2 linked regions of the Lepisosteus oculatus genome follow. The protein of the gene in region 1 interacts with the protein of each later gene in a biochemical or structural test. Links are inferred from orthologs where the notes say so. Each region holds a gene or a part of one and is shown on either strand. Other genes may lie near its edges.

Region 1 (7,466 bases):
TCCAACTGGCAAGAGCAACATTAGCAAAACATTCAAAGTGAAGAACAGGCTGACCTTGCAAATCTAAAATATCAGCTGCTCTCAGAGTCCCTGTATGCCAGCATGCTCCAGCTCTGGTGCTGCGGAGCCCGTGCAGTAAGACCTAGTGGTTCTGCAGTATTTGAAACTTTGTGGTTTGTAACATATGGAACTTTTTTCATTTTTAAAAAAAGAAAAGGTGGTGTGCTTCCTCCAATAAACAGCTGTGTCCTTGAAACACAAGACTGCAAGCAATGAAAGGGTTAGATGTTACTACCTGAGGGTGTGATTCTCTCTGTGCCGACAGCCACTCCAGGCACCAAAACGGCCTTCTGGGAAGGGGAGCCTACACCCTTTGAATCTGCCACTGAGCGTTTCAGTCTTTCCTGCAGTAAATGGGGAAAAAGGCTTAAAACGTGCTATGAAGTGTTGTTTTCACTTTGCTATGGCTTACACAAAATTTAATTCCATATCTCTATATTAAGATTACAAAACTACCAATGATATGATAATCATATTATCAGTCTGTTTAGCAGTCGGAGTGTTACTGGTGTGCAGGGAAGCCCGGGGCACGTGCAGGACCATACCTGGCGAGCTGGCGGCAGGTGGCCACGGTGAGGCAGGGAGTGGGAGGGCGTGCTGGACTTTGTTTTTCTCCCAGGCGAAGGTTTGGCAGATGAAGGGCAGCTCACACTGGACTTGCTCAGGGAGTTCTTACTGTCCTGGGCCAAGGGCGAGGGCACCGTCTGCCTGGCAGTCTTGCTATCTGCCGCTTTGCCCGTCCTCGAGGGCGTGCCGGACTGAGGAAGCGGTTTGTCCCCCGCAGGGAGCCTGATGAATGCGGGTGAGCGGGTGCTGTGCCTCTTTGCCTGCCGTGTTGGGGACGGGACGCTGGGACTGGTGGGCTGCAGGCTGCAGGAGGATGAAGAGACGCTCATGGCAGGAGACCCCCCCTCACAGCGTGGCAGGACCCCAGGCCCTGGGGAGGCCACAGTCTGAGCTGGCGCTGTCCTGGCTGCTCTGCCGGGAGTCCGCCTACTCCTCCGCTTCGCAGCCGGGCTCTTCCCTTCAGCATCCGGGCGCGGTGATGGACACCCACTCTCGGGCACGACGGAGGGAAGGAGGGACTTCACTGGGCTGTCCTTCACGATATAGGTCTCCCTGCGCGGGCTCCGGCGCGGTTCCTGCCTGTCTCTCAGCGCCCGCACGCGGGGCGACTCCTGGCACCCGTCCCCGGCGTTCTCCTTCAGCACGGTTCTCTCCAGCTGGCTGGCCAGGCGGTTGGCCTCGCGGGAGATCTCCTCCAGTTTCTCCGCACTCAGCGGGCTCCAGTTCAGCAGCCCCCCATCGCCTCCCGCCTTGCTCCCCCAGCCCCCCACTCTCTGGCTCTCCCTTGCCCCCTGAACGTTGAGGTCAATGCTCTTGGCAACACATCTCTCAACGTGCCGTACAGGGCCCACAAAAACCTCCTCTTCCTCGGCCATGATGGAGTCGCAGAGCTCCCGACTGCAAGGGCACACAGACAGCACGTGAGCACAGTCCCATGGCACAACTGCTCCAATCAAGACCGGCGAACTGCACTGCCAAAATATAACTACCGCTTCTTAATAGTGCAGACACCCTCCTCACGTTTGCACAAAGAAGCACTAGACTTCACAAGTGAGTGTAATTAATGTGCAGTAAGCAGACTGCAGAGAAGATGGAGATATATACTCGCATACTGAAAAAGGAAATATAGTACATACTGTATACAGCCAACATGGTGGACATGTCTTTTTCAGTCAACACGTGCAGACTGACATGCAGCTATGCTACTAAATATGTAGTTACTGTATCTGGCCCTCTCCACAGCCTTAGTGCCTGGAAAAGCTGGGGTGGAGCAGACTTCTGTGCACTCTGAGGTAGACTACATCATCCCAGCACGTACAGCAAGCGCCTGGTCAAGCCAGGTCACCAGAGCTCAAACACGCAGCCGTCTGCGAGCACTGCCTGCCCGTAAGAGCCTGGCAGTGCTCTTTAGAAACGTGTGAAGTTTTAAAACCAGGACAACCAGTACCTGTCTGAAGGCGAGTCTATGCCGAAGTCGAACGTCTCTTCCGTTATAAAACAAACATCTGAAAGACAAGCAACATCGTCCATTTTACGACCAATTTAATCATTTGGGTTTTACATGTTTTGTAAAAACATGTAAAACCCAAATGATTGGGTGATTAGTTTCAAAGCAATAGAAAGTCACCTTACAATTAATAATTGTAATAATGAACAATATTATTATACGTAGTTTCGTTAATGCTTCTATATATGAAGGTTTGCATTTATATGTAATCAGTATTTTATTTAATAGGTTATCGAGTCATAAATTAAGTAATTTAGTCAAACGTATGAATTATCCAGACTTTCATGAAATTTTCGTGTTTAAAGTGAAATATGTTTGTAAAAGGAAAAGCTTTAGAAAAGACAGTTCCATAAAATATACTTAATACGATGATACCTTCACCTGTATGATCCATCCTACCGAGCAATTAATCGGTATGTGAACCTATAAAAACAAAACAATACAATTCGGTTAACTTCATTAACTACCTTATTAATTTCCACATAACCAAAGCTAAAGACAATCCGATCGAAATGAACTTCATTTAAACGAAAACATTTGGGTATTTAATATGGAATTATTATTACCTACGTGCTGATATTTGATTATTTTCCCCTCTGTTGTGACCCTTCTTCATCTACTAATGCCCAGTCTGTCACCAGCACCACACAATTAATAAACAAAGTCGGCCACAATGACATGTACAACACAGCTACACCTGCTTTAACATCAGATAAAGCGAATAAGTAATCCAGCAGCCGTAATAAACTATTTAAAAAACGCGCACGTTTTCAAATAAGATTATTTTTTAAAAGGTAAAGAAATTTAAAATATAACAGTCCGTTCTAGCTCGTGCTGTCGTTTTGTTTCTCTTGACGTTTGAATTTTGTAACTCTGTTTCCTGATTGGACGAGGGCAGTAGTGACGCCACACTCCCAACGGCTGGCAACTCCTGTAGCTGCCAAGAGGTATTGCTGAAAATCTAAAATGAAATGCCAATCAGAAATGCGATATATCTGCCAGTACACAAAGTATCGATACAATCTATTAAAAACGTTGTCTTTTGGGGCTTATACACTGTTTTCGGCTTGTATCAGAAACTACCGGAACTTGTTGGCTGCGATTTGTGTTGTTTCCATTCGGACAGGGTTTCAGTCGGACCCCCGAGACAGGAAGTGTGGGAAGTTTGTGTTCGAATGAGTTTGTCTTTACTCTTGTGTTCTTCTACAACGCTCTCCTGAAAGAAGGATGTCAGGTATTCCGCCAGATTCGTGGCAGCCCCCGACAGTCTGCCTGGAGACAACGTAGGTGTTGCAGGAGATAGAATAATTCTAATCCTGTTGTCGCTGAAATTTAAATGGATTCTATCATGGACTACTACATGCCTGATTTGGTTAAAAAGTGGCACTGTCTGTTTGCGCTATATGAACGGGCTACCAATAATCTATAACTGTCAGTTTATAGTCTCTTATTAAAATTGGATGACCATCCATGCTAAAATACATATTTTCTTATTATCATTAAATATTGCAGTATTAATAAAAAAAACATACTGGGGGAGACTTAATGGCATAGGCTCGCATGATTGAGCGATTTTGGTATCGGAAAGGCGCGGTGTAGGTTTGCTGTAGTCCGTATCACGTTGTTTTCCTGCAGAATGGGGACGATCGTGGTGGAGCTGTACTGGAAACACGCCCCCAAAACCTGTAAGAACTTCGCTGAGCTGGCTCGGAGGGGCTACTACAACGGTACCAAGTTTCACCGGATCATCAAAGACTTTATGATCCAGGGCGGAGACCCGACTGGTACAGGCGAGTGTGTACGGACTCCCCGATACGGTCTACAGAGAGGCGCTGGGAGAGGTTGGGTGGGGTCTGGACCAGTGCTCTTTACGGACACCCGCAGCCCAGCTGGAACGTCCACTTCTAAAGAGCTAAGGCTCTGAGACTAGTTGCCATAAACTTCGTTAAATTTCTCCATAGTTCCCCCTGACGTGTTTCTTGAGTTTAAGTGTGTTGAACAGGGCGACAAAACATATTCAGTATTCTCTGTGTTGCAAAGATTAACATAACTGGAGGTTTTACAGATGCCAACTATCTTAGTTAACTTTAAGAAGTGCAAGATAGTGATCATTAGAAAGGTGTCCTGTGAAATCACTTGCATGGTATCACTTGAAATCACGTGATACCATGCAAAAAAGCAATTGATTGACCAAAGTTATGAAAAGCTCAGGCAGAATAGAAGCAAGTTTCCAGTAAGTGTGAGTTTTGAGGGTGAGTTTCCCGGCTCTACTGTTTCTCAGTGTAAAGGGTTATCAGAGATCCAGTAAAGCAGGAGACTCTTCCTAATAGGTTTATACTGTGTAAGAATATTGTTTTGAAAACTGTTTAGTTGCGGTAGTACCAGTTATTTCTGTACCAATTTTTTGTTAAGTAAAAAGACAAATAAAAATTGTCATCTTTATGTAAGGTAATAGTGAAACTACAGTATAGGACCTTCCATAAACATGGAACAAATTTGAGTAAGTAGCCAGATGGAAAATTATATATAAAAATAAGATACTAAAGTCCCCAAAATTTATTCTGAACCTTAATAAACTATTCTAAAGGCTTATTGTACAAACATAGTGTTGTCTCATCAAATGCCCAATGAGAATCCTGTCAGGGTTTATAGCTCTGAGCAGCATACCCCTGGGGCTGTAGCTCTGACATGGCTCTTTTCTCATGATAACTGTGCATTACCCATTACAGGGCGAGGAGGAGCCTCCATTTATGGCAAACAGTTTGAAGATGAACTGCATCCTGAATTGAAATTCACAGGTAATTTAATTCCTCTGTCAAATTATTTTATTTGTCTTGTATTGACCAACTGAAATTTGATTGTGATATACATGAAGGCATTATCATCAGTCTAATTCCAATAAACATGTGGGTTGAGAAGCACATTTATCTTGCTACTACATGCTTTTACTTTTTCAAAAGGAAGTGTATATTGGTATCTTTCCCATTTGTTTGGGGGCAGAGGAAGCTTTGTTTTTCTCAGTATAACACCGAATCTGAAAAGATGACATAATGGCAATCCGACAGAAATTCCTTGATTTTGTATGGATTTAGGAGCTGGGATTTTGGCGATGGCAAACGCCGGGCCGGACACCAACGGGAGCCAGTTCTTCCTGACGCTGGCACCAACACAGTGGCTGGATGGGAAGCACAGCATCTTCGGGCGCGTGTGCCAGGGCATCTCCGTCGTCAGCCGCGTCGGCATGGTGGAGACCAACACGCAGGACAGACCGGTGGACGACATCAAAATCTTAAAGACCTCCCTGCCAAGCTGAGACGCGCACACTCTGCACGGCCGATAGTCTGCCTGTTATTCAGAAGAGCTGCTTCTTCAAGGTGCCATCAGCAGGGAGGGGTCCCCAATACTCCTTCGCAATCTCAGCGTTCCTACTGAGTGTGGAGTCGTGCGCCGTCTAGTGGAATATGACTTTTCTGAATCTTGAATTATTTTGAATCTCAATCACAAATTGAAATAAATATTTTGCAGTTTTTTTAAAACATTGTGTGATTGTTTTTTTCTAACTCAGTACAGCGTGCAAAAAACCAATAGCATGAAAGAAATTAACTTGTTTGTTTAGGCTCCTAGAAACTCTGGAATGCCTCAGTGAATGCAGCAAGCCTGCATTGCCACCTGGGGGAGGGAGATGCCTACTCACCTGTCCTGGGAAATGCTCTTGAGAGCTGAGTCAGTGTTTGCAAAAACAGAAAAGGCCAAAAACTATTCCGACGGCTGGCAAAGCAATTCCATCACGCCAGTTCCTGAGTCCCTGCTAGAACCATGTCATCAACATAGTGAGCACAAGACTCAGGTTGTCAGTTAAGAGGGCCAGTCACCTGAATGCAGTGAAAAGGGATTCTTGCACTCTTATCTCTAAAGGCAAATTTGTAACTGGGCTGTGATCTAGCCTTGCTTGAGTCACAGTTACAGCAGTTTGGGTGTTTCGGTCCTCGGAGACAAGCGCAGCTGCCAATCCTGCTGAAGTGTCCAACGGCACAAGGAGAAGGTAATGACTGGGATTCAGTGCACTGACGACACCAGCCGGTATCGGGGAAATGTCTCGACTCCGTGGTTGTCTGTGAGGCTACCAGAACAGGCAATGGAAGCACCTCAGTGGTTTCAGTTTTCCTTTTTATCACTGCATATTTCCATAGCAAGCCAGTACTTCTGTTAATATATTTAGAATGGTATTGATATTCAGCTCCTGATGTTTTTAAAGTGTAGCTCACAATACTTGTATCAGTTTTTCCTTTACCCCTGGCTTTGAATGCACTGTCGAAGCAGGGTCACTGCTTTGTGGTGCACTGCCCTTACCCTGTGAACCAGCCCTCTGGCACAGCTCTGCAGGGTACAGACTCAAATCTGGCTAGAATGTTGCCAGGCTCAGTCGGAGACTGCAATCTCTAACATTCGTATAAAAGTACTAAAAAAACACATGCATGGAACAAATGACTGCTGTCCTACAGATTTTCACCAAATGCCTTAGTTTCTGGCCTCTGTAGGTCACAGTTCACCTGGAGCGAAAGGCTCCGATTGGGAATTGGTGAGAGGCGGAGCGAGTGGAGTTCTGCGTGTGTTCCTCCCAGACTCCAGCGGACAGCTCACTCGCTTCATTGTATGAGCTGCTCTGGCTGTGGTTGGGATGGCCGGGGATCTTCAGACAGGAGCCCTGTGTGAGCCCCCAGTCCAGGGGAGCAGACTGAAGCAGAAGGGACAGAAGATCCAGGAGAGGGGCCAGTGGGCAAACAAGTGGGAGTTCATCTTGGCTGTTGCTGGATCCATTGTTGGGCTGGCAAACATGTGGAGGTTCCCCTACCTGTGCTACAAAAACGGAGGAGGTGAATTATACTGTCTTATTTCTTAGCTATCCATGTGAATATGTACATTTTTAAATTAGATTATGTAGGGCATCCTGTTTTTTAAATCTGCTGTATTTTCCAAACACTCATTCCCCTTCATTGCCATGGAAAACTGGCCTGTATTTTGCACCAGAACTGCATATGCAGAGAATCTGTCCAAAGTAACAACTGGAGCAGTGTGACAGGGGTATTAATGTGTAAACTGCTGCACTATCTGCTTGGCGTGGCTGTGTTTGTCTGTATGATAAACATTTGAACTCTGAGAGCATATTGGATCTGGGGACACAGGGGTGAAGGTATCTCCCTCAGAGAATTAGGAAACCAGCTCCTTTACCACTTGTTGAAAAGTCTAGTTTTCATATTACTCAAACAAAACATACAAACAATATGTAACAATAAAAAATGTCTTGAAATTTTTAATTGCATTTCATTTGTCA
Region 2 (7,422 bases), about 1.1 Mb from region 1:
CATCATCTGCATTTAATATCAATATCTGTAAGTATTCACTATATATTCTTCCTAAAAATGTTTATGATTACTGAGTAATTCTGCTTGGAAAATGCATTGAGATTAATGGTAAGGAAAACTCTCACACATGGTTATTTTTGCAACATTTGATTCACTGTTGCAAACACTATTTCAGATATTTTGTTCTGAGACTATCAGACAATACCAGTACGAACACCTAGTGATGTTAACATTAACTCAGATTCTCTTCAAATAAGATTATCTATTGATATGACCTAAACTATTCTCAACTCTATTCACCTGACTTATTCAGAGTCAAATTAAAAAATTAGGTAAATTTTCCCACATTTCCCACCTCCATGTTCCAGGAACACTCGGACACATCTCTCCTTCCCTCTTGCTGCTGAAAAGTGAAGCAGGGTCCAGCCATTGGCATCACGGCCATTTGGAGAGTAGCCCTGCTCCAGCATTTTGCGCACCGTATGGACATCTCCTGCTGCAACTGCAGTTTGAATCTGCAGCTCTTCTTGCAGTTCAGGGTTCCTTCGACAGTGGTGATGAAGCATCCTGTTACATCTCGTTACAAGGGATTCATCAGGACTTTCAGATTTTTGTCTAAAACAAGAAACATCATTACTAAGTGCATAATTCACATTTATGGACAAAACATCCATAAATGCAGTCTACAATATTATTAATGTAGTATACAACACATCACATGCTACCTAGGTCAAACTACACTAGTATTCAGTGTGCAATTCTGACATCAAACCTTAGTCTTTAACCACTTTTTCTGTAATTAAAAATTTGATCATATTACCTTGTTTCAAAGCTCTTGATGTGCAACACAGTTTTTTAGCCCTTTAAACATACTAATGCATCTTCCAGAGGTGATCATCATTCAAGACAATTGACACACATATCTAAAAAAAAGACCACAATGCATAATGTCAATAAGAGTTCATAGACAAGGGAAAAATATATCCTTTATTACCAACTTCATACTGAGAATGCTCCATAAAAAATAACTTCTTTCAAATAAAAAATAACATGTCTGATATCTCACATTATCCTCACTTTTCAAAAGTGTTGTAAATCTCTAAAGTTCAGAGCATAAGGTACAAACAATGGCAACAACTGGGGATATGTTGAACACCAAGTAAATTGAAAGTTAAAGCTTCCACATGTGTAAATAACATCCCAGCATCCTTAAGGCCAGGTACACAAGGGCTGTCCAGACCTTGGCTGCCTATAATTATGGTTAAGAATTGACCTCTTGCTTTAAAAGTTGAGATGCATTTTGTAGGATTTTCAGACACCAAGGCAGCTCAATTTACTGATGTTTTAGGAGCAACTCTCTACAGAGATGTCAGTATGGAAATCTCCGAGCAAGATAGTTACTGCAAAGGGCACAAGTAGAAGGAAGCGCATAGCCCAGGATTGTTGTATCTGTGCATTAATTTGAAGTGGGAGGCAAAATAGGAAAGACACTGGAAAACTCTACAACACAGCACATACAGGCCATACTGGCTACACATGGTGGCCCAATGTCCTATTAAACAACTACACATGTTTTTGTTTTTTTTTCTTCGTTTTTTGTCTGCTACCTTTGTACTATATATTGGCAATCAGCGGAATTACAACAATATGGGTCTGGTCCACTTACCACTTAATTCTTGCAAATAAATTATTAATGAAACACCACTAGCATTTTCTTTTAGGAGAGATTATTATGCTGGCTATGGTTACTGTTTAAGAATATTTTGCCACAGTAAAACAATTCTCAATTAAGAAATAAGCCAGAAACCATTACAAGTTGTCCATAAATTTGCATTCTTGACTGAAATTTTAATTTAATCAGTTAACACCTTTTTATTTGTGGTAGTATGGGACATACAAATACTTGATTTCTAGATAGATACTCAAAAGAATTTAGAATGTAGAACAAATGGTTCTACAGTATGTATAATTACTTTGTTTACAGAGTATGTACTTTTTCCTTTAAAGTTCATGGTTTCAAGTCCAAGTTATGGTATACAGTACAATAACTCAACATCAATTATTTCCAAATAGTTCTATAGCTGATGCTAAAATACTTACCATTGATGTGTTTAAGTACTCAATGCAACAGTCAACTAAAAAGCCGGTGAAGCTGTAAACACTGTCTCTACCTTTGCCTCGTCAAAAGGGACTACCACCAATATCAGAGAGGCATATACAATTATCGAAAAAGCGCAAACTTACACCTGATTTAGTCTTTAAACATAACTTTTAGGAGCACCGTGTCTAATAGTAATACTGTTTCGTTAGGATGTTGTTCAGTTTAAATGCGTAATAGCCAAACCCAAACCTAGAGCATTACAATATTGTGTGCGCTATACACTATATGCAGACCTGTGCTCCTACTGCACTTGTCACATTGTTTTGCAAATAAAATGTCAATATTGTATCCGAGTCACTCAAAGGATAGCCCCTGATGTCATAGAGCTGCAATTATATAACTTCAAATTTGTAAAATAACAATACAAGAGTTCTGAAGTGAAGAGGACCATTATTATACAAACAATAGAGTGTTACCTTCCAGGTCTCCCCTTTTCAGACTTCCGTTCAAATTGAGCAGTTTTATTTTTGTTTTGTTTTAATCTCCTCACCATTCGATAATCCGGATTTAACTGGTAAGTGTGTAAAATACTAAACTTGAAATTGTGCTACGAAAAAGGATAAATTGATTACTGAAGCAGAATTAGACTTTACCTTCCACAGGACTGTATTTTAGAGTTTTTCCCCTGGTGTTTCGAACAATCGAAATAAAGCACCGGCGCCCATATTTCAAAACGCCGGCTCTATAACGTTGTGGTTGCTGTTTTCTTCGACACAATTGATACAATAGATTGTTTTTTAAAAATAAAAATGAATAATTGATTCAATTTATATTGACTTTACTGAACCAACCCAATTCAGAAGGGTTACTGGGAAGGAACCATCGCATGATAACCAATCAGCATCAAGAAACATCAGTTTTCGAGCTGCCGTAAATTAGTTGGACAAACTGCTGCAAAAACAGGTGACCGCCAGCGACGTCGCGACAATAGGTCTAGTTCATTTGCGGACATTAAAAGAGATAAAAGAACAGAGGGGAAACTTGCTTTTCATTGCTGCCTAAACGAACACCCCACTGGGAGTTTGTGTTATACTTAACGATTTTTAAAAGATTACAAGATTTTTTTTATTTTCTCTTATCAGGAAATATCTGACGTTTTACAACGTGTCGTTATTTGGTAACCTAAACTAAATGTTATCAATAATGCAGTATTGTATAACAATAATATGCTAAGCTATATAACGGCAGTAGTATATTGTAAATAGTTAAAATATATATTTAATACTTTTCTTAGTATACAGACTATCAGCAATGTTGGCGCTCTTTAAGCACTTTAGGATCCAGTATCTCCATTGACTTTCTTCACCGATCCGCCGCTGTGTGTTGGCTGAATTAACAAGTAGATTCTCGTACACGTTCCTATTTTCACACTGGAATCCATTTTAACTAGTATCAATAAAAAAATCAATTCGTTTTCGTTCCTTGCAACACTCCACGATGTATTTATTTTTTCCTTTAGGCAGATATACAGTAATCCGTCTTGCCATTATGAGGTGATATGCGATGTACTGGAGACCGGAGTGCATTTGTATTTCTTTGTACACCTATTTGAGGGTACCAATAATGCATGCTAAATAATCAATAATTAAAATTCTCAATTTAAGATTTTAATAATTATTTTAATTCTGGTTAGGAAAATAATTGAAAATCAAACATTTTTCAGTTTCAGAAAACTTTACGATTTCTTAAATTTCTGTTTTGGGGTCAGGATACAATGGATAAATTGACATATTTGAAAATAAACATTTCAGATAAATAAGTGACTTTGTTTCAGTTTGTCAACCTGCAAAGTTCGAAACAGACTTTTTCACCTTCTGCGGGATCCCTGTCGAAGCTCTCCCATAGACTGGGTAAAACCCGGAACGACGGAACGCTAAAGAAAACTGAACAGGTTTTAGTATTTTAAATAATAACACTTCTCGTCTAATTTTATACTTTTTATACAGTGTTTGCTTAAAAAACAATTAGTATTTGCAACCAAATACTTATATAATTTTACTTCAAGTTAATGTGTACCCAATAGCTCACCTACCCCAGGCGGGGGTGGGACACTACTAATAAAAGTGGTCTAAAACTTTAAAGCATATATTAGTAGAAATACCCAGAAATAAAAAAAAGATATTATTGACTTTTGTCTTTTATTCATCTTTAAATCTAAACTGCTTGAGTATACAGCAAGAATAGCCATTTTTACTTCACGGTCCCAATTCTTATGATGTATATTGTAACGTTTCGTGTGCCTCTTTAATTCCTTATCCGCGTTGAAAATGTAAATGATGAAGCAATCGATTTTTTTTCATAAGTTCTTCTAACTCTGCGTTTTCCATTTTGTATTTATAGCTCAGTTTTACCAGCTGCACTTGTTTACATTATGCATCGTCTACCACATACTGTATACCCGCTGTTTTCCAAGTCACGAATCTTATCAAGATCTTTTTTAATTTAATTTTGTGTTTGATAATCCACCTATATTGGTATTATCTGTAAACTTGACATGTTAGTAGCTTTCATGTACTTTTGAATTTCAGCACGTTTAGCAACGTTTGCAGTACACGATTACGTTAATCAGAATAACTGTGTAGGTACTGTATGCAAGAAGTCGCAGGGCCGTTTTCTTTCGATTTGAAAAGAGGTTTACTCTGTTACAAAAGGCATCTTCGGAGAACAGTGTAATACTATTGTCTCTTCATTTCTGGTCAATACTGTACATACAGTACTTTAAAACAACTCTCGGTTACCATAAATTAAATTCAAACATTATTATCACCTTGGAGAAATGTATTAATGTATGTCCAACAAATCAATACAACAATAAAACAAACATCTCCAACAAAGAATCTCTTAAATGGGAATAATTGAAATTCACACTCCAAAATGCTCTTAGGCTTTTTTACAAACCTTAGTTTGTAGAAAACATTTAGGCTTATGTGATGTGCTACAATAATTGTATTGTTATCGTCACTAATTTTCCCAGCCTGTTACAATTTATGGTGTTGATGTTGCCACCAATAAAAGGCCATCTGAACTCTTTTTTACAGTAAAGTAATGAAAAGGGGTGGACACTTGAGAGGCGATTCCTTTTCCTTGGAGTTGAGTCCGATACAAAATTAGTATTTTAATCTAAGACACCTGTACCAGTCAGGAAAAAGTGAAACGGTTCTTGGGCAAAGATCTTTAAAGATTGGGCAAAGGCCTCTGAACCCTAATACCTTCAGTAAACAGTATGCTGATTACTTTCCCCCGTAATTGTGCTGCAGGACAAGAACCACATATGTTAATATGATTAATATGTTATAATAATAATATAGAAAATTACTAAAATCTGTTCAGTTACTGCCACGGCATTTCATTGTTCCACCTTTCCAGATTTTAACCAACCCTCTTGATAGATTCTGAGTGCAGGTAAGAATGTTGTCACAAATCACATGTACAATAGATCAAAATCAAAAAAGAAAAATCTTCAGGCATCTGCCATGTTAGGAAATTGTACATTTGGTCTATGAGCAATAGATATATGGCATGTGAGACTGTGTTTGGAGTCTCTGACACTGCCCTCAAATGGTTTAAGTCTTACCTCACTGATCGCTGTCACTTTGTCTCTCTCAATGGGTACAGGTCTGAAATTGGTCTTGTCAAGTCTGGTGTCCCTCAGGGCTCAATACTGGGCCCCTTGCTCTTCAGCATTTACATGTTCCCACTTGGTCAGCTTTTAAGATCACATGGCCTCAGCTTTCATTTTTACGCTGACGATACTCAAATATACATCCATACCAAACCCGACACTGATGTGGCTGTCTCTATTCTATCTAATTGCATCTCTGACATAAAAATTTGGATGACTCAAAACTTCCTTCATCTTAACTGTGACAAGACTGAAGTCATGCTTATTGGTACCCCCCATCAACTTCGTAAAGCCAGTCCTGCAACCCTGTCTGTAGATGGCTCTGTACTTGAGCTTCAATCAAAATTGAAAAACCTTGGGGTTATATTCGATTCTGGCTTAACATTCGACCCACATGTACAGCATACTGTCAAAACTTTTTTTCATCTTAGAAATATCGCAAGACTACGCCCTATGCTATCATTAACTGTGGCTGAAAAGCTGATCAACATATTTGTATTCTCTCGAATTGACTACTGCAATGCTCTGCTCCCTGGGGTATCTAAATCTACTCTGAACAAGCTGCAGTATGTCCAAAATTCAGCAGCCAGAATCCTGACCAGATCTAGTGCAAGTGTTCACATTACTCCTATCCTGGAGTCCTTGCACTGGCTTCCGGTCAAATTCCGCGTAGACTTTAAAATCCTCATGCTCACCTACAAGGCTTTACATGGCTTGGCACCTCAATACCTGTCTGAACTTTTATCGCCCTACTCCCCACCTCGCAACCTCCGCTCTTCAAATTCTGCCCTCCTTACTGTCCCCCAAGCCCGTCTACATTGTATGGGCGACAGGGCCTTCTCCTGCTATGCCCCCAAGCTCTGGAACTCCTTGCCCAAGGATATTAGAGAGTCACCTTCTCTAAACTCCTTCAAATCCAGACTCAAAACCCTCCTTTTCAGAAAAGCCTTTACTTAACTGGTTCCATTCTTCACCCCTCTGCTCTTCTTAATACCATCTTCCACGGTCTCCTCTATTGTTATTGTTGTATTGCTGTAATTATAATTGTGTCCTGTCTTGTGAAATTTTCTTATTTATTGTTGTAGTCTTCTTATTTATTGTTATTGTCATCCTGTAAAGCGCTTTGAGAAGCCACCTTTAAAGGCGCTATATAAAATAAAGTTTATTATTATTATTATTATTATTATTATTATTATTATTATTATTATTATTATTATTATTATTATTATGTGTTTAACCTTTAAGAAAAATCATTTTTTATCCAGACAGATTATGTTTCAGAGTTCACAATGTTTTGCTTCCCTATTTTTTTTTCCTGTGGTGCAAAATATGAAGATACAATCAATGTTACTATCAGATCACACAAATTTCTACAGGTTTTTAAAAAATAATAAATACACATGTAAATAATAATAATAATAATAATTGCTTACACTTATATAGTGCTTTTCTGGGCACTACACTCAAAGTGCTTTACAGGTAATGGGGACTCCCCTCCACCACCACCAATGTGCAGCATCCACCTGGATGATAAGGTTGATAAGGATGATAAGGTAAACCCTGCTAATGTCTTAATGCTAACCATTCTAGAAGGAGACATTGTACAGTAGCTGACGTTTTGTAGTGGTTATGCTTTAGC

Evidence for each region.
Region 2: of the proteins of proline/serine-rich coiled-coil protein 1 (region 1) and asb7, one has a biochemical effect on the other in vitro, tested with the Homo sapiens proteins (2 studies listed by BioGRID, with this or other methods). The link is inferred for Lepisosteus oculatus from reciprocal best matches to the Homo sapiens genes PSRC1 and ASB7.

Annotation. Positions count from the first base shown.
Region 1 is NC_090700.1:40,699,332-40,706,797, forward strand, and holds the start of proline/serine-rich coiled-coil protein 1, read right to left. Parts: upstream 3,016-7,466; 5' UTR 2,751-3,015; coding exon 2,705-2,750; exon of another isoform or gene 2,701-2,704; intron 2,558-2,700; exon of another isoform or gene 2,529-2,557; coding exon of another isoform or gene 2,510-2,528; intron 2,158-2,509; coding exon of another isoform or gene 2,133-2,157; coding exon 2,075-2,132; intron 1,525-2,074; coding exon 606-1,524; intron 405-605; coding exon 296-404; intron 1-295. Other genes in the region: ppil1 (peptidyl-prolyl cis-trans isomerase-like 1), read left to right, coding at 3,362-3,417, 3,770-3,924, 4,864-4,932, 5,227-5,447; slc6a11a (solute carrier family 6 member 11a), read left to right, coding at 6,813-7,008. UniProt on the Homo sapiens protein: Required for normal progression through mitosis. Required for normal congress of chromosomes at the metaphase plate, and for normal rate of chromosomal segregation during anaphase. Plays a role in the regulation of mitotic spindle dynamics.
Region 2 is NC_090700.1:41,751,326-41,758,747, forward strand, and holds the start of asb7 (ankyrin repeat and SOCS box protein 7), read right to left. Parts: upstream 3,008-7,422; 5' UTR 2,755-3,007; intron 2,676-2,754; exon of another isoform or gene 2,578-2,675; intron 2,413-2,577; exon of another isoform or gene 2,101-2,412; intron 924-2,100; 5' UTR 821-923; intron 616-820; 5' UTR 567-615; coding exon 356-566; intron 1-355. UniProt on the Homo sapiens protein: Probable substrate-recognition component of a SCF-like ECS (Elongin-Cullin-SOCS-box protein) E3 ubiquitin-protein ligase complex which mediates the ubiquitination and subsequent proteasomal degradation of target proteins.